Stegostoma tigrinum: one gene and its partner. The protein of the gene in region 2 interacts with the protein of the main gene of each other region in a biochemical or structural test. Links are inferred from orthologs where the notes say so. Each region holds a gene or a part of one and is shown on either strand. Other genes may lie near its edges.

What was found.
Region 1: the proteins of lrp2a (region 2) and clu form a complex in vitro, tested with the Homo sapiens proteins (3 studies listed by BioGRID). The link is inferred for Stegostoma tigrinum from reciprocal best matches to the Homo sapiens genes LRP2 and CLU.

What each region holds. Positions count from the first base shown.
Region 1 is NC_081357.1:56,012,227-56,023,462, forward strand, and holds the start of clu (clusterin), read right to left. Parts: upstream 4,322-11,236; 5' UTR 4,098-4,321; intron 3,526-4,097; exon of another isoform or gene 3,405-3,525; intron 1-3,404. Other genes in the region: scara3 (scavenger receptor class A member 3), read left to right, coding at 5,358-5,364.
Region 2 is NC_081360.1:65,297,694-65,308,792, forward strand, and holds the start of lrp2a (low-density lipoprotein receptor-related protein 2a), read right to left. Parts: upstream 4,321-11,099; 5' UTR 4,285-4,320; coding exon 4,218-4,284; intron 1-4,217. UniProt on the Homo sapiens protein: Multiligand endocytic receptor. Acts together with CUBN to mediate endocytosis of high-density lipoproteins. Mediates receptor-mediated uptake of polybasic drugs such as aprotinin, aminoglycosides and polymyxin B.

The DNA.
Region 1 (11,236 bases), on a different chromosome or scaffold from region 2:
GCCATTAGCATCACAGTTAGTTTCGATACTTTGGGAAACCCATAAGTTTGTATATTGGGTTGGTTAGCTGAGTTAGCTGGCTGATTGTTTGCAGTGCCCAGAGATACTAACAGTATGGATTCGATTCCTGCACACGCTGAGGTTACCATGAATCAGAGAATCTCTACAATGTGGGAGCAGACCATTTGGCCCATTGAGTTCATGCTGTCCGTCCAAAGAGGATCCCACCCAGTCTCACCCCCTACCATATCCCTGTAACCTTGCATTTCCCATAGCCTGCACATACCCTTGACACAATGGGCAATTTAGCATGGCCAATCCAACGAACCTGCACATTTTTGGACTGTGGGAGGAAACTGAAGCACCCAGACAAAAACACACACATTGACAGAATGTGGAAACACCACACAGACACAGTTGCCAGAGGGTGTCATCGAATATGGGTCCCTTGCACTGTGAGGGAGCAATGCTAACTACTGAGCACTATGCCGATTCTCCTTCTCAACCTCTCCCTTTGCCTGTGGCACGGTGAACCTCATGTTAAGCCACCAACAGTTGTCACTCTCCAACAAGAGAGACAGAATGGGACTGTGGTGACTTTACGCAGGAGTCAGCTGGGTGGAATGAATGGTCTTCCTCAGTTTGATTTTTCATAAGACAGAACTGATTATTTTAAAAGAGGAAAGAAAGCTCCAATTAGACTTTATTTTAGAATTGAAAGTATTATAGATTCTTATGGAGTTAACTCATCTAAAAGAGATTTTCTTTGAAATGCATCAATTATCTTGCCAACTGGAGATCCTTAGATATTCCTTGATGGCGAATTATGACAGCCGTACTCGGTTATCTCGTCTATATCCAAGTTTTGAACGGAGTGTGCAACTATGTTTCTGTGGCTCAATCTCTGGTGTCCAAGTTACTTTAGGAACTATGTTCCACTTCAACTTTGGACATCCACACCTGCTTGTTTAAAATAAAAAAGTTAACCATTCTTAAATCATTTGGCTTTGTGATCGGATTGTGCTGCAGCCAAAGCACGTTAATTTATCGTTATATATTGTATCACCTATGACGTCTGATAAATTAGAAAGAAATCTAGTCACACTAATCCCTGGGTCACTCGGGTCCAACTTCCAAATGAATTTCTGAGCATATTTACAACCAGCATTACAACTGTATCATTTTCATCTGGCGGGGGGGGGGGGGGGGGGGGCGCGGGTAAGCTTCTAGTATCATTCTAAGGTTTTCTGGGCATAGTTTTAAATTTCTGCAGCTTGATCCAATAAAACAGACCCTAGGCAAAGATTCAAAATGAAATATTAATGTGTTCTGCTAGAAAATGCTATGAATTTTTTTTGCTCATAGATACTGGTTATATTTTATATTGATGCTAGATATAACTGTTAATATTAACAGTCGAATTGCTATTATGTCATTGTCACAAATGGCTGTTCTGACTCTTAAAATGCAAATTCATCCTGCATTGTCAGATGTTGACTCAGTTGCAAGTGTTGCCCAACTTTAAGCCTGGAAGGTGCTGATTTAGGCCCCACTTCATAAATTTATGCACAGTTTCTATACTGTCACTCTCAGGATGTGCTATACAATTGGAGATGCTGGAAATGAGATGTTGAACTGAAGGCCAGTCTGCACTTTTAGCCATTCTGAAGGACAGACAGGAAGTTTCCCTGTATCCTGGCCAATAATTATCTCCCTATTAACATCACAAAAAGGAAAGTAAACTGGTCAATTTTAGTGTTGTGCCAAAGTTTGTTTGGAACATCACCACATTTCCTACATTAAAACTGTGACTATTCCTAAAAGCAAACTAAAAAAAGGCTGTTGACCATGCAGCACCGGTTGAGATTATGAGCCTTTCTTTTCACCCCGCAATCTGCCTGATGAGCATTACAGAAGAGTTTGGGGTTCCACATTCTACTCCTCCACGGTGCATTATAATTAATCCTCATCTTTACTTGAAGCCGCAGACTTAACAGACACAGCTATAAATTCCATTACAAGCAATCTTCACTAAATCCTAGTTATTGCTGATTTCGATGATTTAAAGTGAAAGGCATCAAGGATTGCTTCCCAACTATACACAGCAGGATCTATTGTTTTCTACAATGTTCACATTAAAAATGGAATCGCCTACACCTAAAAGCAGTTACGTTAAAAACAAAACATCTAATATTTTACAAAAGCAAAATACTCCAGAAATCTGAAGTGAAAAACTGGAAAATGCTGGAAATACTCAAAACTGCCCTGATGAAAGGTCACAGACTTGAAATGCTAATGCGTGTTCCCTCTTCATGAATGCAGAGAATTTGCAACATTTTATGACTAACGGTTGTCTAAGGCCTGAATAAAATGCTACACTGCAGGTCTTTATAAACATTAATTTTCAGCACTTAGATTTTTTGGTGCCCTTATCTAGCTTGTGAAGCTATCATTTTGTAGATCAGTATCCAAACAGCTTAATGCTCCCAGTTCGCTCTTGGTATCAGCACAAATTATTTGAAATGATCAATGTTCTGCCTCTCTTCGGGGCAGCTGTTCGGGTAAACATAAAAATCAGCATATTAAGTCTCCCTGTTTTAAAATACTCCCTCTGAGATGCAGTCAGTCTGCAGCAGACTAGAAACGTACAACTGCAGTCTGGCAGTGAGCCAACAACTAGAACAATAACCTTGACTATTCTAAATGATAACCAGCAAGGAAAAAAGCTGACTCCATTATCATGTTTTCAGCATATTGTTACAATAGCCCTATTAATAACGGTTAAGAATGGTACCTTGTTTATTTATTTAACCGATTTTCTCTATTTTGCTCCTCTTCCCAAGTTTATGCAATGGTGAGAACTGGGTGGGGCATGTTAGTAGCAACCACGAAGCAGAGACTCACCCCCCCCACACAATTCTTCCCGTCTCCACTGCGTCTCTTTGTCCAAATTTCTGTCTTCAGTAAGAGACAGGGAAGGGAAATGCTACACTGTTATGTTGTTCAAAACTTTTCACATCCAGCATATGCACCCAAGACAGATAATGAGCAATTTAAAATAAAATCACACTGTAGGAAATGCACCATGGGATCTTATCCTTGCACTGTGCCACCACCCCTTTTCCAACCAATTTCCCATTCCTTTGGTAGAATGTTTATATATCTGTCAATTTAGCCAAACTCGTCACAGTACTTCTAGTTCTTCAATGACTGCAATTTTTTAAAGGCAGCAAAATGTGCGTTTTACTTAAGCTGGAATTTTTCTGCAAACAGATTTTGAACTTACTGTAAAGTCAAAATCTACAAGCTGTTATTAATCTCTGAAGGACAAGAACAATGTTCCTGTTTATTTTTGAATTCGGCAAATAATGCAGGCTTTGTGTGCCTAATGCCTTACTCATTTCTTGACGCAAGGTGGAGCAGCTACATCGATTTACAATGATGTGCCCAAACTGTAAACAATGAGACAAAGTGTAAACAATGACACTGGACTACGCTGTGGAATTCCTTGGGGCAACAACTGAAGTAAGACGTTTCTTTAGACTAATTAGAGTATCACAGGCCTGTACATGCATTCTGCGGTCTTACCTCGAGTATTAATGGCAGAGAGCTCACAATAACTTGCCAAATTAGTTATAAGTACACGCCAAATGTTAAGATTCGTCAACTCAGTTCCTAACTTTAGGATAGAAAACGGTTATTGCAACTCCGGCTCTGATTGATAAGACGTAAGTTATATAACAGGATGCCATTTACATCAATTCCTTCAAATATATAAAAATTAATATCAACATATCATCTGCAATATATTTCAGCCTGTTCCTTTTTTTTACTTTTTAAAGTTTAATTGCTCCAGTGTCAATTTGACCACCAATGCTATAGGCAATAAATTTACTGTCGGCTACGTCTAACACTGCATTGCTAATCATTCAGTGCACTCTTTAATGTTTTAGAACAATATATTTCCAAATAGGATCGTTCAATTAAAAGAAAACTTGCATTGTTTAAAATAAGATATCCTTTTTGATGCAATACCAGTCAACAGTCCCCTCCCAAACTATTAGCAATTGTAAAATAAATGCTTTCTTGTGTCCTACCTTGCATAGAGATCTGTCCCTGCTCTTGATCTCCGCTTCGCGCAGCAGTCCTGGACCTTTTTATCCTGGTACTCAAGGTTACATTTACATTTTTGTTGAGTCACCAATACGCAATGTTGAATAGCTTTCTGGGACTTTCTGGAAAAATCGACATGGACTGTCTCATCCCGATGGAAAATAAAACCCGAATGACTAGAATCCAAACGCTTAGTGCCAATGCTGCGAAGATCCAGCAGTGGGCAACACGACACAGGCTTATAAAGCGTGAAGCGACCTGGGGCGTCTTCCACAAACAGCAGGGCGTTGTATTGTGTTTCTCAGTCAATTACCTTTCATCATCATCGCTTCTTAGAGCGTTTATGTGACTCAAAGGCAGAGGAAATCACTTAAATCAGGTTAAATGACTAGTAGAAATGTAGATCCTGATCATGATGAGTTTTAGTTTTATAAACTTGCCGGGAATTGTTGAGAAATATTATCTTCTAATGTTGACAAGCATGAAGAGAACCAGGCATTGAAAAATTTTTTTTTCACGTTAGTTTCGAAAGGATGAGTTTTGCATATACGTCTCTTTACACTTTATGTATTGCTAGAGTTTTCTTTCCAATAAGGCTGAAAGAAACTTTGAACGATGACTTTTGCATACTTTGAAAGCTCTGATCAGAACGTTTAATGTAAAGTGATGTTTTTAACCCCCTGTCATTTTCAAATGCATTTGTTTACAATTAGCGTCCCCCCACTGCGGTTACCGTGCAAACTGGCAACATGGTCGCTGCTTCCCTGGAAATATTTGAGTGCAATGAGCCAAGGTCACGGTTCTCCAAACGTGAAACATATCGCCTGGGCAAAAACGTCCAGCCTTTTTTTCAAAAAGTGAGGATGTTTATTTAGGCTCCAGAACAAGTAAGATTAGTGCAAGATTTTAGTTGCAGTCTGCGTTTCTCAGACATGTTTTCATGAAGGAAAGTTAGCCGACAGCTAGGTATGTAATCATGACGTACTTTGAAAACCAAAAAAGTCTGTTAACTTTTTTAAAATGTATAAATAAAACGATCATAATTAAATCTGTACTTCAGACTATTTAGTGTTTTTTTGCAACAGATTGCCCGTCTTCGTCGTTCAGTGCTTATGTTCATTTCAACGTTATCTTGAACCTTTATTGAATTACAGGAAGTTCTTGTCTGGCTAACTCTCCAAGGAAGGTTTTTTCATGGTGAGATGCAACAGGCGTTTATTGCAGATAGAGTATAATAACAGAACATGAAAGGTTAGTATTTTATCTCCGTTTCATTTTGCTGAAAAGTTTGGGCACGCAGCATTTTCTTTCATTACTCGTTTTTCATCATTGCAGCTCTATTAATGTGGTCAGCATTAAAATGCATATGTTTATATTTTATTTGCATGTCTCTGCGCTCTTATTCTTGTTGCAAGTACAGCCCAAGACGTTTTACAGCAGCCAAGTGCTTATGTTAGAATGTTGGATTAAGTTTGATTGTTACCCTATTATGTCATCATTGTTGCTGTCGGATTGTATTAATCATTTTCAGAACAATTTCTACTGTAGCGCAGTTATTGAGAAACAAGATGATTTGTCATGTAATTTTTAATGCAATGTCTGTTTGTAATTGTTAAAACATTGTGCATATAATATTTGTGAATAGCATTGAGGATGGAGCATTCTTGTCAAAGAAATTGCACTAATCAATTAAATGTGTCATTTTAACACTAAAGCAACTCCTTTTCCTAAATAATCCAAATAACTAGTGGAATGTAATCATTTAATAACTAGTAGATTAGAACATATAGCTGCAGTTAGACAAAGCCTTGCTTAGATCACAGCTGGACCACTGTCTACAGTTCTTGGCGTCCCATCTTGGAAAATATACATTGTTCTGGGAACCAGTGCATTTTAGATACACCAGGATATTACCAGGAGTTAAACAATTAAATTACGAGGAGAGATTTACAGCAACTTGAGTCACCGAAGGGTTACAATACAGACAGTGGTCATTTGACCTGCTGTGTGTGGGCTGGCTATTTGTAGAGGAAATCACATTATCCTATTCCTTCACATGTATCCCTACTTCTGTGATTTTTGTTTTATGTTTCAGGTGTTTTTCTCAAACCCTTTCTGAATTATACAGTTATATACCACAATTATACTTGCTTCATCTATACTTTCAGAAATTCAACTAGGCTTGTGCTCTCTGGCATCAAAAAGTAATTTGATTAAGGATTTTAATATTTTGAACATAATTGGTAAGATAGGCAGAAATAAACTTTAAAGTTTAAAGGTCTGTAGCTCGAGTTGTGGGTGAGGTTGTTGACTTGCTCACCGAACTGGCTTGATTTTGTTCAGATGTTTCATTGCCGTGCTGGGTAACACCATCAGTGGATCCTCCGCTGAAGTGATATTGTTCTACTCCGCTTGGAATTTATACTGTCCGGCTTGGCATGGTGAGCACTGTCATTTCTGGTTTTGATCTGTACATATAGAAACCCATACAGATCAAAACCGGAAATGACAGCACTCACCATAATGGACTGGACAGTATAAGTTCCAAATGGAGTAGAATAACATCAGTTCATTGGAGGCTCCACTGATGATGTCACCTAGCATGGCGACGAAACATCTGAACAAAACAAACCAGCTCGGCGAGCAAGTCGACTACCTCAGAAATAAACGTTTTCTGCTGGTGGGAGGATAAGAACACAGGAGCAGGAGTAGGCCATACCCTGCTCTGCCATTCTCTATCATGGCTGATCACCTGCCTCAACACTATTTTCCTGCACCATCCCCCTAGTCTTTGATATCATTAATATGTAGAATTCCATCTATCTCAATTTTGAACATTGAGCTTCTGAAGGTCTCTTGCACAGATAATTCAAAAGATTCACCACTGTCTGAGTGAAGATGTTCCTTCTCACTTCTGTAATAAATGGCATGTCTCTTATTTTGAGATTGTGACCTTTGGTTCGAGAGCACCCACCAGCCAGAGGGAACATCCTTTCTGCCTCTAATTTGTCTATCTCTTTATGAGTGCTTTAAGTTTCAGTGTAATAAACTCTCCATCTTCTAAATTGTAGAAAATAGAATCCCAGCTCCTGAATTGCCTCATAGACTAATCATCCCATATTTTAGTCAAGTGAACCTCCATTGCATTACCTCTGTGGCAGGTATGTCCTCCTTTAGCTAACAGAACAAAACTCCACACACTTCTTCAGGTTGGGTCTTATGAAGGTTCTATACTATTGAATCCTGTACTCCTATCCTGTTCAGATAAAGGTCAATATACCATTTGCCTTCCTGATTGCTTGTTGCACATACATGTTTGCTTTAAGTGATTTGTTAACAAGGAAACACAGTTCTTATTAAATATGAACATTTCCCAATCTCACACCATTTAGTAAATACATTAGACATTTCTCAAGCTCACACAATTTAACAAATACACTGTTCACTACTGTTCCTCCTACCAACATGGTAAATCTTGCGCATATCCACATTATCGTCTGTCTGTCATATTCTTGCCCACTCACTCAGCCTGTCCAAAACCAAGTGAAACCTCTTCGCAACATTCTCATGTAACACATTCCCGCCTACTTTGTGGTATCCACAAACTTGAATACGTTACTTTTGCTCCAGACATACAACATTGATATAGAACAGGAAAAGCTGTGGTTCAAACACTAATCCATGCAACACCTCACTAGGACCTTACAGCCTACTCACCTGAGAATGACCTATTTATTCCTACTGTTTTCTTCCAGTTCATAATACCGCAACCTATGCCAGAACACTAACCCTCATCCCATGAGTTCTAATTTTGTTTACTAACTTCTTGTCTGAGTCTTTTATAGAAAGTCATCTGAAAACCCAAAAATACCACATCTCATGGTTTCCGCTTATCTACTCATTAGAAACATGTTAAAACAGATTTGTCAAATGTTATATCCCCTTCATAAATCTATATTGGCTTACTTCAATCAAATCATTATTTTCTAGGTGTCCATTTATCACATCCTTTGTTACAGATTCTGGTATTTTTCAACAGCTGACATTGGGCTAACTGGAGTTTTATCCCTTCTTCCATTGTCGAAATAGTAGTTACATTTGCCACCTTGCAACCTGCAAACACAGTCCCAAACCAATAGAATTTTGAAAGATGATCACCTTTACAATCCACCATCTCTGTGGCCATCTCTATCAACGTTCTAGGATGTAGGTTTTATGGGTCCCTAGGATTTGCCAACTTTCAGTGTCACTAATTCCTCCAGTACTATTTCTTACAAAAGCTAGATTCTTTCCATTAACATCTTGGATCTATTATTTCTGAGATTTCTTTCGTCTTGTCCACAAAGATAGACACAGTAATTATTTATCTTCTTGTCATTTCCTTATTCCCCATTATACATTTTCCGGTGTCTGCCTGTAATAAATTCACCTTTGCTTTTGATAATCTTCTTTTTACATACCTAGAGGAGTTTTGAGTTTTTTTGATAGGTTTCTTGCTGATTTACATTCACATTCTAATCTCCTATTCTGTGCCAAGTTGTTGATAATCTTTTGACAAATTCTAAATTGCCCCTAATCTTCAGGCTTGCTACATTTTGGTAACTTGATCTGCCTTCTCCTTTGGTCTAATATATTCTTTAAGCATAGTTGTTAGCCATGGATATTTTGCTCTTCCTGTTGAATTTCTATGCTTTAAAGCAATGTATGTTATAAACAATGCATAAGTTCATTAAATACTAACTACAGTATTTCCCCAATCCACCCCAAGTAAATTTGCACCTCATACGTTTGTAGTTTTCCTTGTTTACTTTTAAGGTCTTAGTTTTGGATTTTTTTCTTAAAAATCAAATTCAACATTTAGGAGAAATGCATCTTCTGTCAAGGACGGTAAATATGTGGAACTCTGTCCCAACAACAGCAATAGATGCTGACTCAATTAATAATGTGAAATCTACGATCCAGGCAGGAGTTTGATTTATTGTTGTCACATGTACGGAGATACAATGGAAAATGTTGTTTTGCGTGCTATGCAGGCAGATTGTAGCATATAAAAGTACATCAGGGTAGCAGGGCAGAGTGCAGTATATAATGTTATAGCCACACAGAAGGTACAGAGAGAGAGATTAACATTTAAGAGGTCTGATTATGGAGTGCAATGACATAAGTGTAGGTCGCTGCAGTTTGGGTGCAGGTTCAAAGTGATCTATTTGAATGACCAAACAAGCTTGAAGGGCTGAGCAAGTGCGGCTGTTCCAGCGTTTCAAGGTGCTGAGCCCAGGTTACATCCGAACAAATCCGAGGAAGCAGTTGAGAGCACAATTTCTTGTAGAATTTTTGATCTGCAAAAGATCCTACCACATTTGCGTGGTGAATATCAGGTGTTTCTGCAATTAAGAGGTCCCAACTAGAAACAGAATATTTGTGAATTTCGGTGAGACAGGCGTGACCTTGGTAGTAATGCTCCTTCAATCGTATAACCCTACCAGTACTCATCAACTAGGTATTCAAGCTAAGCTGATAGTTGTTGTGTATTACACCAGCACATGCTCAACTGCAGACAAATGTTACTGAACTTACTTTATTTACACATCCCAACAGTGAGGGAAATATAATAAAACACTGACATCTAGCCTTTTATACATTCACTTCTCATTTGAATAGAGCTTGTACCATTTTATATTTTAATATGTATGTTTCTAGAATTGCCCATGATTAAACTAGCATTGATAATACTGAAACTTTAAGCTTGGGTTGCTACTTATTTTTACTAATCACAAGTACTAATCAAACGCACATATGAGCAATGCTACTGAATTGATTTCACAGTTTTAAAAAATACCTAACGCTAGTGTGTTTTTGACAAAATGTTATCATATAGCAAGAAATAATGAAAACAATAACTTCTTCCTCGCGGATAAGAGATAATGGGAACTGCAGATGCTGGAGAATTCCAAGATAATAAAATGTGAGGCTGGATGAACACAGCAGGCCAAGCAGCATCTCAGGAGCACAAAAGCTTATTTGTGCTCCTGAGATGCTGCTTGGCCTGCTGTGTTCATCCAGCCTCACATTTTATTAACTTCTTCCTCGCGATATACTTGCAATCTAATTGGCTACTTTCTCTTGCCGTTTGGAATCTCCTGCCATTTCCATTATCCTGATTCTACTTTCTTAACATTTCTGACTGTGTTAAACCTGACTTTTGACTACCAGCTGAAATTAATGATGGGGACTGTGATATAGATTGATTTGGAAGATCCTTGCCAGCTTTTTATTGGGCAGTACGATGCTGGAAATCCTTCAGTTCCTTTCTGTCTTTCACTTGAGACTATAGGAAGAATTTGGCCTATAGGAGGTTTATCATACTGTCATAGAGATGTACAGCATAGAAACAGATCTTTCAGCCCAACTCGTCCATGCTGACCAGATATCTTAAATTAATGTAGTCCCATTTACTCGCATTTGGCCCATATCCCTCTAAATCCTTCATATTCATGTCCTTGTCCAGATGTCTTTTAAATGTTGTAATTGTACCAGCCTCCAGCACTTCCTCTGGCAGCTCATTCAACACACGCACCACCCTGTGCATGAAAAAGTTGCCTGTTGGAGTTCCTTTTTAAATATTTCCTCTGTCAGCTTAAACCTATGCCCTGTTTCCTACCCTGGGAAAAAGACCTTGACTGTTCACCCTATCCATGGCCCATCTGGTTTTATAAACCTCTATAAATGTCAACCCTCAGCCTCTGACGCTCCAGGGAAAATGACCCCAGCCTATTCAGCCTCTCTTTATGGCTCAAAGCCTTCAATCCTGGTAACATTCTTGTAAATCTTTTCTGAACCCTTTCAAGATTCACAACATTCTTTCCTATAACCTGGAGCACAATTGAATGCAGTATTCTGAAAGTGCCCTGTCTATATCCACAGCCACAGCATGAACTCCCAACTCCTATACTCAGTGCACTGACCATTAAAGGCAAGCACTTTAAAGTTTTAGCAAAGATCTGTAGCTGGAGTTGAGGATGAGGTTACTGACTTGCTCGCCGAGCTGGCTTGTTTTTGTTCAGGCATTTCGTCCCCATGCTAGGTGGCATCATCAGTGAGACCTCTGATGAAGCGACGTTCT
Region 2 (11,099 bases):
CTAGGATCTGAATATTCAAGAATTTGAATTTAGGAATGTGAGGCAAAAGGGAAAAGAAGGTGGAGTAGTGCAGGTTATGAAAGATGGGATCAAAGTAACTTACTGAGAGAGATTCTTATTTGGTATTGAGAGAAGAACAAAATGTAGAATCTAGTTGGGTCAAATGAAGTAACAGGGTTTCAAGGGGCATCAAGCATTGTTTATAGGCCACGAATGGCATGGCATAAATCTAGAAATGACAGGTCACATGGCAAGGGTAATGCAATTATCATTGTTGATATAACCCCATGTATGGTCTGGGTAAATCTAATGAGCACAAATGCTGTGAAAGGGAAATTTCTAGACTCTGTATGAGATTTATTTAATATCATTTATGGGATGTAGGCATGGTTGGCTGAGCTGCATTTCCTGCCCATCCCTAGTTGTTCTTGAGAAGGTGGTGAGCTGCCTTCTTGAACTGCTGCAGTCCTCCTGCTGTGGGTTGACCCACAATGCTATAAGGGAGGTAATTCCAGGGTATTGACTCAGTGACCGTTAAGGAACGACAATATATTTCCCAGTCAGGATGGTGAGTGACCTGGAGGGGAACTTGAAGCTGGTCGTGTTCCCATATGTTTCCTGCCCATGTCCTTCTAAATGGCCATGGGTTTGTAAAGTTCTGCCTGAGGATCTTTGGTGAATTTCTGCAGTGCATCTTGTAAATAGTAAACACCGTTGCTACTGAGAGTCCATGGTGGAGGGAGTTAATGCTTGTAGATGTGGTGCCAATCAAGCAGGCTGCTTTGACCTGGATAGTGTCAAGTGTCTTGAGTGTTGTTGAAGCTAAACCCATTCAGGCAAGTGAGAGTATTCCATCATACTCCTGGATGGGGAGTTCAAAACTAGGGGGCATATTTTTAAGGTGAGAGGAGAAGGATTTAACTGGGACCTGAGGAGCAACTTTTTAAACAGAGAGGGTAGTTCATATGTGGAATGAACTGCTGCAGGAAATGGTGGATGCAGGTACAGTTACAACATTTAAAAAGACATTCGGACAGGTGCATGAATAGGAAGGGTTTGGAAGGATATTGGTCAAATGGGACTAGTTTAGATTGGGAAAGTTGATCAGCATGGATGACTTACACTAAAAGGTCTGTTTCTCTGCTCTATGACTCTGTGACTAAGTTGTCCAATTTGGTAGGAAGAAGAGATGTGCCGAACATTTATTAAATGCTGAGTGATTCGTAAGTATTGCTGTCCAGAAGGACCTGGCTGTCATTGTTCATAAGACTCTGCCCGCTGAATCTGCAACTTAGCCTTACATTAATCATTCATGGGAGGAGGGTGTCTTTGGCCAGGCCAGCATTTATTGCCCATCCCTAATTGCCTAGAGGGCAGTTATGAATCAACCACATTGCTGTGGGTCTGGAGTCACATGTAGGCTAGACCAGGTAAGGATAGCAGTATCCTTCCCTAAAAGGACATTAGTGAACTAGATGGGTTTCCGCCCCCCCCCCCCCCCCCAACAATTGACAACGGATTCATGGTCATCATCAGATTTTTAATTCTGGATATTTATTGAATTCAATTCCACCATCTGCCATGGTCAGATTTGAACCCAGATCCCCAGAACATTAGAGATAATAGGAACTGCTGATGCTGGAGAATCTGAGACAACAAAGTGTAGAGCTGGATGAAGACAGCAGGCCAAACAGCACCTTATGCTGCACACTGTCTGGGTCTCTAGATTAACAGTCTGCAATAACACCTCTAGACCATCGCACGCACTCACCCCCCAACTTTCAATCAGGAAGGCACATGATCTTTATTGTAAGGTGATTTGAGTACAAATATAGAGGTGTATAGTAGGGAAAGTGCAGCAAAGGATCATTAGGATAATTCCTGGAATGATGCAACCAACCTAAGAGGCATGACAGAGGAGATTGGAACTATATACTCCAAAGTTGAGAAGAGTGAGGGATAATATTATCAATATATTTATCTTACCAATAAAATCAAAGAATCAAATAGTATGCATATTAAAATTTCATGAAGTTACCTAGATATTCAGGTTTTAATATCATTGCAGGGTCAAAGTATGATTATAAAGATGTTAAAATATCAAGTCAATGTCTTAGTGATTGCTACAAAATCTGAAATTGCTGTAAAGACTCAACAGCTCTGGCAGCATCTGTGGAGAGAAAGCAGAGTTAATGTTTCGGGTCTAGGAACACTTCTTTGGAACTGACTGTAGCGAGGATGATTGGTAATACATGGTAGAGAAGGGGTGGGAGAGGAGAAGCAGTAAACAATAATTAGATGGAGACCAGAGAGAGAGAGAGAGATTTCTAATTGTTTCTGATTTTCAACATCTGCAGTTCTTTTTTTCTGCTTTTTACAGGTTTGCTGTTTTGCAATCATTCTACAATATCTATCATTAATGTGGTATGCATGTATTGCTACTTAACTGCCAAATTAGAGTAAAAAATGTTTTAGCCTTGCTTGATTTGAAGTAATAAAGAAAATAGCATATTTCTGTCTTGCATTTAGATTGAGATACCTTATGTAAACAATGGCACCTGCATTATTTCAAAGTGGGGTCTACTTTGCAATAATGTAAAAATTACAGTATTACTCTAAAACCAGTTCAAGATCTTGACCCAAGTGAATATTGGTGGGGAGAAACCAAGGCATACAAAAAGGAATTTCAAACTTGTTTCCAGTCACAAGCAACAGCATAACTCTAGTATCCTGAAATCTGATGTGCAGCTGGATGGTTTGTGAAGAACTCAAGCTGTGGGTCAGTAATAGAAAATATTGGAAAAGGTATATATTTTTATACATATCACCCTCCAAGATCAGCAGTAATTTTTTACTTGAGTTTGTGATTTTACTTAGCAAAAACAAATTTTGATATGTGCGTGAGAAACTGACATCCATCAAATGTGCATAATCGAGGCTCAGCTTTGATAATCTGCAAAATTCAAGAAACCTGAAAAATGATGCATCTGCATTAAATGTGACCCCATACACGTATTTGAAATCCAATTATTGCAATCCTGGAAACAACATACAATCATGTCAATTAAAGATTGCGTGGTTACCGCCCGGAACAAAATAAAACTTGAGCAGGTACTTTCCGAGCACAGTAAAAGTTCTTCCTTAAAATAAGGGGTAATTTAAAGCAATTGCCTTCCAAAGAAGTTAACCCTTTAGTCAGAATAAAGAATATTAACTCAGCATTACACAGAACAGCATTCTGAAACAGGATGTCTGCTTTTCTCGAGCGGCTGTAGTATAATTAGTTACTTGATTTACTGTAAGGAGATTACACTGGCCATGGAAAGAGATTAGAGATGGAGCAGTTTGAGAACCGCACAACAGTGTTGCGGCAGTGCCCAAGACACGGTGCTCTGAGAATATTTCCAACGTCTCCCTGCACAATTAAGGGACGTGAAGTCACACTGTAACGTAACCGTGGTTGGAGCAAAGTGAGTGATGAATTCGCCAACACTGTGTAGAAAAGGGATCTGGAAGTCAACTTAATGGCACTAGACCAATTAACAGATTCGCTATGTCTGCTAGTCACATGCGCAACGATGTTACCTAGCAACAAGGGAACTCACTAAAAGTTCGCCAGGAAGAAATTGCAAATCTTCTGCTGAGTGGAACTTTGTGCAGCAGAGAAAATATCAGTTTACAGAATCAAATTGTGCTGAAATACAGTAAAACCTTTCACCTGATGCATGGATCATCTTGTCGAAATTGAACGTATTACATCGTTTCTTTCTGTTACAAAACTATTTTAGAAAAATCGTGAACTTCCGTTGAACCGATGCGGCTTATTGTCAATGGCGGAATTTTGCCGTACGGTTCCCATCAACGTGCGTTTTTACCTGGTACTTTTCGCTCATTTCTTTAGTAGATGTAAATTTGAAAAGCTGTTAGTTTGAGTGCTAACTAATTGTTAAACTTAGCTATTTTCTTCCCTGTTAAACTATTTTAAACTTACTAGTTAATATTGTATTCCAGAACAATCTGAAATTAATTGATATCTAAATCTCTTAAATACCAAAGGCTGTACTCCAACAAAAGTAATGCTAGAAATGTACAAAGTGCATTTCTTAAAAAAATCTAAATAACGTATTGAATAAAATTACACTCATCATTCACTTCACCAGAATAGCTGTAATAAATATCCAAAAATAAGAAGTTGGCAAACTTATGCACCTTCTTACCTTCTGAACTACAATGAACTATAAGCAAAGTTCCCAGAAGAAAAAGTGAGAACGTCTGGCCGACCATGCTGCAGCCTTGTTTTGAAGTCTTCCCCTGCTCCTGGTGAAGCTGGCTTTGCAAGTAAAGGTTGTGGAACCTGGTTGATGTAGGTCTCCGAGCTGTCTTTTTTCCCTCCTCCTGATGCTAGTTGGGAAAAGGCGTGTTCGAGAGTTTGGACATTGCGTTTGCACTAAAACCGTTCAGCACTAAGGTTCTCTGCACCCAGGCCCCGGAAGCAGCATAACTCAGCACCAGTCCTCTAACAGGGAGATGTCTGCATGCCCTACTAAACCGTTATTAGCACAGTACTGACAAACAATAGGTTAGGAGAAACAAACTGGCACAGCCACCTAGAGAAATCCTTGCACTTCATTTCGATTTTCTAAACGAGACAGTTGACTTTGGTATGTTGTGAAATTCAAATACGAAAGCACTTTCATTCCAGAAAATGCATTTATGAAATAAGTTAGGAAAGTTTTACACAAACTGTTCGCTCTGCATGTTCCGCTGCTCGCTGAATTGCACATTTACTGTGATATTTATCACTGCCCACTCCCCATTTAGATAACACAACTTCTTATCGGCAGTGAATTGTTTATATTTTACATTGCTTTTGGTCAACTGGCTACGTGTCACTAACTTGCACTGTTAATTGTGTGTGTATGTGTGCGATTATTTTACGATTCTGCCAATTGTGATGCCTATTTGCTCGTTATCACAAGAGGCATACTTGGATTTCGTTATTTCTAAGTCTGGTGATGCAAGCGACCGCAGGGGGACTATTCATGCTCAGGGCGGCTCGGTGTTGGTACGGCACAGCACCGGGGTCAAGCCTTGGCGCTGCACTACATAACAGCACGAGGGGCAGATCAGCATATTCAATGAGTTTCCTGACACATCCCCACCACAAAGAACAAAACAGCCCACACCCTTCATCATCAGTCAAACTACCCCCCCCCCCCACCCCCTCCAAAAGAACCTCGAGCCATCGCTTAGTTTGCCAGAATGGACCCGAAAGCCTTTTTTTTCTTTGAAGAAAAAGACGTCTCAAAACTTCCATTAGGCTTTGCTTTCTTTTGTTGCTCTTTTGTTTTATTGTTGCCAACTTGATGAAATTCTTGTCGTGGTTTCACAGCAAGTGTCAGACTGACCAAACGTAACCAGCTGCGTTTCTTTATGAGGTTGGTGATAAAGCGACTAATCCCAGTGCTGCCCCAGGAAGAGGGAACCAAAGGATAACGCAAAATGTGATTGGCAACAGTAACAACGAAAGTCTGTACTTTCTTTATTATAGATGTGTCTTTGAAAATCGCCCAAGGCTTCCATAAAGAAGGAAAATACGTCGATTCTATAGTCCCCAGTCAATTTGTGGACTTTAAAGCATGTATTCCTCCAACTGTTTAAAGCCCGGAGGACCCTATAGATCGTACTGGTGCTGGCCCATCTCTAACAACTTGCTCTCATATTTGATACATTTCAAATCAAATCAATTAATGTTATACTCGGGTTAGGCAATGTGCTAGCTACAGTGATCCAAATGGGACAGTGAATATTTCACATCAAGATACTAGACAAATATGAGTTTACATTTCAAAATAGATTGTTGTTAATACAAGCACATGCCAGATCGCATTGGGGTGGGGGGTGGGAGTGACGAGTGCCACAGCGAATGCGCAATTCAGCGAGCAGGGGAACGTGCGGAGCGAACAGTTTGTATAAAACTTTCCAAACTTATTTCATATATGCATTTTCTAGAATTTTTAAATTTGAGTTTCAGCAAATACCGAAGTCCACTGTCTCATCAAATTGTCATAAACAGGTTTAGCGAAGTGAGGACGGGACGACAGCTGCAATACATCAGCAGGACGGCCTGGTTGGCGAGACTACTTTTAGTGCCTCTTAAATGAATACACCTCTCTCTGTTAAGTAACTATATACATTGTGCCAACAATCCCTTTGAAGTAAATGATGTCCTTTAAAGAACAATAGTAAAATATATGCGGACTTTTGTGTTTGCACCTCACAATGAAATCTTCCGGGATAAGTTGGAAGACAAATTAATAAAGTGAGAAATTTAGGCAATTGCCATTCAATTCAAATGGTAAATTTATGTACCGTTATCTCTGTTAAGCGTTCAGAATGATTTCTAAATCATGTGACATTCAGTTATTTATGGGCACGCTTATCCAGTTCACTAACTTTCTCATGTAATTGTAGATATTACATAAAATCAACGCATTACAGGTTGCGCGGGGCTAGGTTAAATTTTGATGGTCTTCTAACGAAGTCCAAATCAATAAGTTTATGAAAGCAGTGAATTATTAACAGCGGGAAACCAAGATAGACTGATTACTTCCGAAGTAGATTAGTGGTGAGCAGCATTGCCTCAGCGCAAAGGACCCAGGTTCGGTCCTACACTTAGTCGATTTTTGTCTGTGTGGAGTTTGCACATTCTCCCTGTGTCTGCGTGATCCCCACGGGATGGTCCGCTTTGCTCCCACTCTCACAAAGATGGCCAACATCCTATAGTGTTCAGAGATGTGTGGATTAGACATGGGCAATACATGGTTATAGGCTAAGGGATCTGGATGGGATGCTCTTCGGAAGGGGAGTGTGGATGTATTGGGCCGAATGGCCTGTTTCCGCACTGTAGAGAGTCTTTAATTCCCCAACGTGGACTAAGTCCCATTCACACGTTATCCCTGTGTTTACTGACCTACAAGGACTTTCAGTTTAGTAAGGTCACCTTTCAAAGTTCTTATCCTTTTTAAAAAAAATTTTCACCCACGGGCTTGTCCATCTCTATCTTGATATAACTGCCCTCCGTCTGATTCGGGTCTCTTGTGCGTCGCTGGTTTTAATTTTCTTGATCCTAAACGCTGGAATTCCCTGCAAAATCTCTCACCTCTCAAACTCTTGCGAGACTCTTTAAAAATCCATTCTGATCAAGCTTTTGGTTATCTGTCCTGAAATCTCCTTATGTGCCTGGGCGTTAGAATGTGTCCCTGGTGCTCCTTTGAAGGGCCTGCCAATGTCTCACTGCACCCAGATTACAACAGTAAATCAGACACTCTTGTGGTGCACTGGTAATGTCCCCAGCTCTCTGCCAGGTCAGTGTTCAAGTCCCAACTGCTCCAGCGGTATGACCATACCCCATCTGAACAGGTTGATCAGCAACAGCTACAACAGTGACAGCACCTCAACAAATGGTCGTAAAATTAAGGCATTCAGCATTCCGTAAAGTGCGATATAAATGCAAGTGTTATGGAGGCACAGCAGTTAACTAAAGATGTTAGTGGTGTTGTCAATTATAAGAGCTAAGAAACCTGATCATCGATAATGAAATGTGAGGCTGGATGAACACAGCAGGCCCAGCAGCATCTCAGGAGCACAAAAGCTGACGTTTCGGGCCTAGACCCTTCATCAGAGAGGGGGATGGGGAGAGGGTTCTGGAATAAATAGGGAGAGAGGGGGAGGCGGACCGAAGATGGAGAGAAAAGAAGATAGGTGGAGAGGAGAGTATAGGTGGGGAGGTAGGGAGGGGACAGGTCACTCCAGGGAAGACGGACAGGTCAAAGAGGTGGGATGAGGTTAGTAGTTAGGAGATGGAGGTGCGGTTTGGGGTGGGAGGAAGGGATGGGTGAGAGGAAGAACAGGTTAGGGAGGCAGAGACCGGTTTGACTGGTGATCATGATCATCAGTGTCTCTAGAAAGCTTTAGCTCACATTTTCTTAAGGAGAATAGACATCCTCATAACATGTTTGGATTTTAATTTGAGTTAAAACCCATATACCGGTAAATAAATGCAGTCAAATCCAGTTAATGACGAGGTCATTTCAAGGACGTCCTTATGTTAACAGTTAATGCCTCACTTAAATTTAGGTGGAAACATTCTTAATCCCTTCTGATCTATGTTTACGATAAGTATGGTTTACATTTCCTCACCCCCTTCTAATTTCGAATTTAGTGCTCGTTAAAATTATCATTTTGTTTTAGAGGAAAAATCACTGGGCCACGATGAATAGCTTTCGACTTGCGGATGGTTTAGAAAGGACTAAAGTATGTTTTTTTTCATTTTGCGCCTCAGTCCATCAAAGCCACATTTGGGTTTCCGTCGAGTTTTTCTCTTGGAAATTGAAACATCATAAATTACAAAGCATTCTTTTTTTTAAAAAATGGGAACGTCACCACAAACTTACCATAAACAAAAAGCAATCGTCATTCTGTTTTGTCGCAGCACAGTTAATGTCCGAATGTTTATACTTTTGTTTTATTCCTGAATTATTTATAAGGGATGGCAGATGTAAGTGAAAATGAATCTGATTCTTCCGCATTTCAAGAGTTTTTATTTTGTTCATGATTTAATTGGCTCAATCACTCACATTAACTCCAAACTAAGCCAATCTAACCCTCTTTTTACCATTGTTTTCTGGTGTTTAGGGTTTTGCAGTAAACATTGTTTGTTTGGCTGGCGAGCGGATTAAGATTTCTAAGATATGTCAACACATGGCTGCTTCTGTTTTAGTGCGACGGGAAGGCGTGAGGGTTTTTTTAAAACGAATTGTGAAGGGTCATTGCCCCTGAATAGAATAACTCATTTGAATGAATTGTTCAGTGAAAGTTTGTGTAATGTTTTCTGACTAGGCGCTGGTGTACAGAGCCTGATATTAATGCAGTCGGAGCTCAGGACTGTGGAGCTTGATTTGGGATTGGTTATCTTGGAATATTGTGTACAGTTCTGGTCACCGCATTATAAGAAGAATGTGGAAACTTTGGAAAGGGTGCAGAGGTTTACTCGGATGTTGCCTGGTATGGAGGGAAGGTCTTATGAGGAAAGGCTGAGGGACTTGAGGCTGTTTTCATTAGAGAGAAGAAGGTTGAGAGGTGACTTAATTGAGACATATAAAATAATCAGAGGGTTAGATAGGGTGGATAGGGAGAGCCTTTTTCCTAGGATGGTGATGGCGAGCACGAGGGGGCATAGCTTTAAATTGAGGGGTGAAAGATATAGGACAGATGTCAGAGGTAGTTACTTTACTCAGAGAGTAGTAAGGGAATGGAACGCTTTGCCTGCAATGGTAGTAGATTCGCCAACTTTAGGTACATTTAAGTCGTCATTGGATAAGCATATGGATGTACGTGGAATCGTGAAGGTTAGATGGGCTTGAGATCAGTGTGACAGGTCGGCACAACATCAAGGGCCGAAGGGCCTGTACTGTGTTGTAATGTTCTATGTTCTATGTTCTATCTTAGGCTCCAACTTCAGTTAACCTCAAATTGCCGCTTTTCTGCATTTTCCATAGCACTCCCACTGATGAATTGATGTTTTAAAATTTGAAACATGATGTAAAAGCAGATAGCAAAATTACTTCAATAATTTAGGTGATCAGAGAAAAAAAAATCACCTGATGAAATGCTTCTGGAGTGACTGACTTCCACGTCTCATGTAAGCTTTTTATTTCATTTATTTTTTTCATTGTAGTATTGCTTATAATTTTCAGTATCAGTTCTTGAAAATAAAACTCTTTTACTGGGCACAATGGAATCGTTGGTTGATTTCATTAACACATTGCAAAAATTTGCACCTGAACGACTTCCTCTTTAAAATGATTTTATTGGGCTCAGCACAGTTTTTTTTCAGATAGCTATTCCCAAATGGACTCCTCCATCTGGGTTAAGGCCAAGTGTTCTCTAAATTCAATGAAACAATATCCCGGTTACAATTAGACTCACATTTGGACTGTGTCAGTTTGCTTATGCATATGTAAACTGACACAATACTTTAGGTCAAATCCTAAAATAAAAAGACCCATTCGTTTTATTCAAAAGAAACAAAGATCCAGTTGTCTTGTCAAAGAGGTCTGAAATTGAAGGGTTTGACTTCTGGAGGACCGTTATCACAGAAGAAAGAACTTCTTCCTCCAATAAATTGAAACATTCAATACATTAAAGCAATTATACGATATTTAGAAAGATCAAATGTGGAAACTATTTCAAACTATCTGATCAAAGTTATATTAAAGCATACAGTTGGATCGAATATATCCTTAAATTCCTCAATTCTCTGTTGTGTATCAACTTCCTTCATTTATTTGATAAAGTTTTCTTATACTACTATTCCTGGTGGATTGTTCCAAATATTCAGCAGCCTCTCTCCAATCACTTACAATCTGTTTCGTTGGTGTTAGGTGACCTTAATTTATTTTACTGCTTGAAATATCTAGTAAGTGAATAAATTTTCCCTTGCAAAAGGACAATGCTTCATCCTCCAACACCTCCGCCATCTACAATCTGACCCCACCACTAAAGACATTTTTCCATCCCCACCCTTGTCTGCCTTCTGGAGAGACCACTCCCTCTGTGACTCCCTTGTCCACTCCAGACTCGCCTGAAGGTTGCAGGAACAGCAACTCATATTCCGCTTGGGAACCCTGCAGCCCAATGGTATCAACGTGGAGTTCACAAGTTTCAGAATCTCCCCTCCCCGCACTGCATCCCAAAACCAGCCCAGCTCGTCCCCGCCTCCCTAACCTGTTCTTCGTCTCACCTATCACCTCCTCCCACCTCAAACCGCACCTCCATTTCCTACCTACTAACCTCATCCCACCCCCTTGACCTGTCCGTCCTCCCTGGACTGACTTATCCCCTCCCTACCTCCCCATCTATACTCTCCACCTATCTTCTCCTCTATCCATCTTCGGTCCGCCTCCCCCTCTCGCCCTATTTATTTCAGAATCCTCTCCCCCTCCTCCTTTTCTGATGAAGGGTCTAAGCCCAAAACGTCAGCTTTTGTGATCCTAAGATGCTGCTTGACCTGCTGTGTTCATCCAGCTCCACACTTT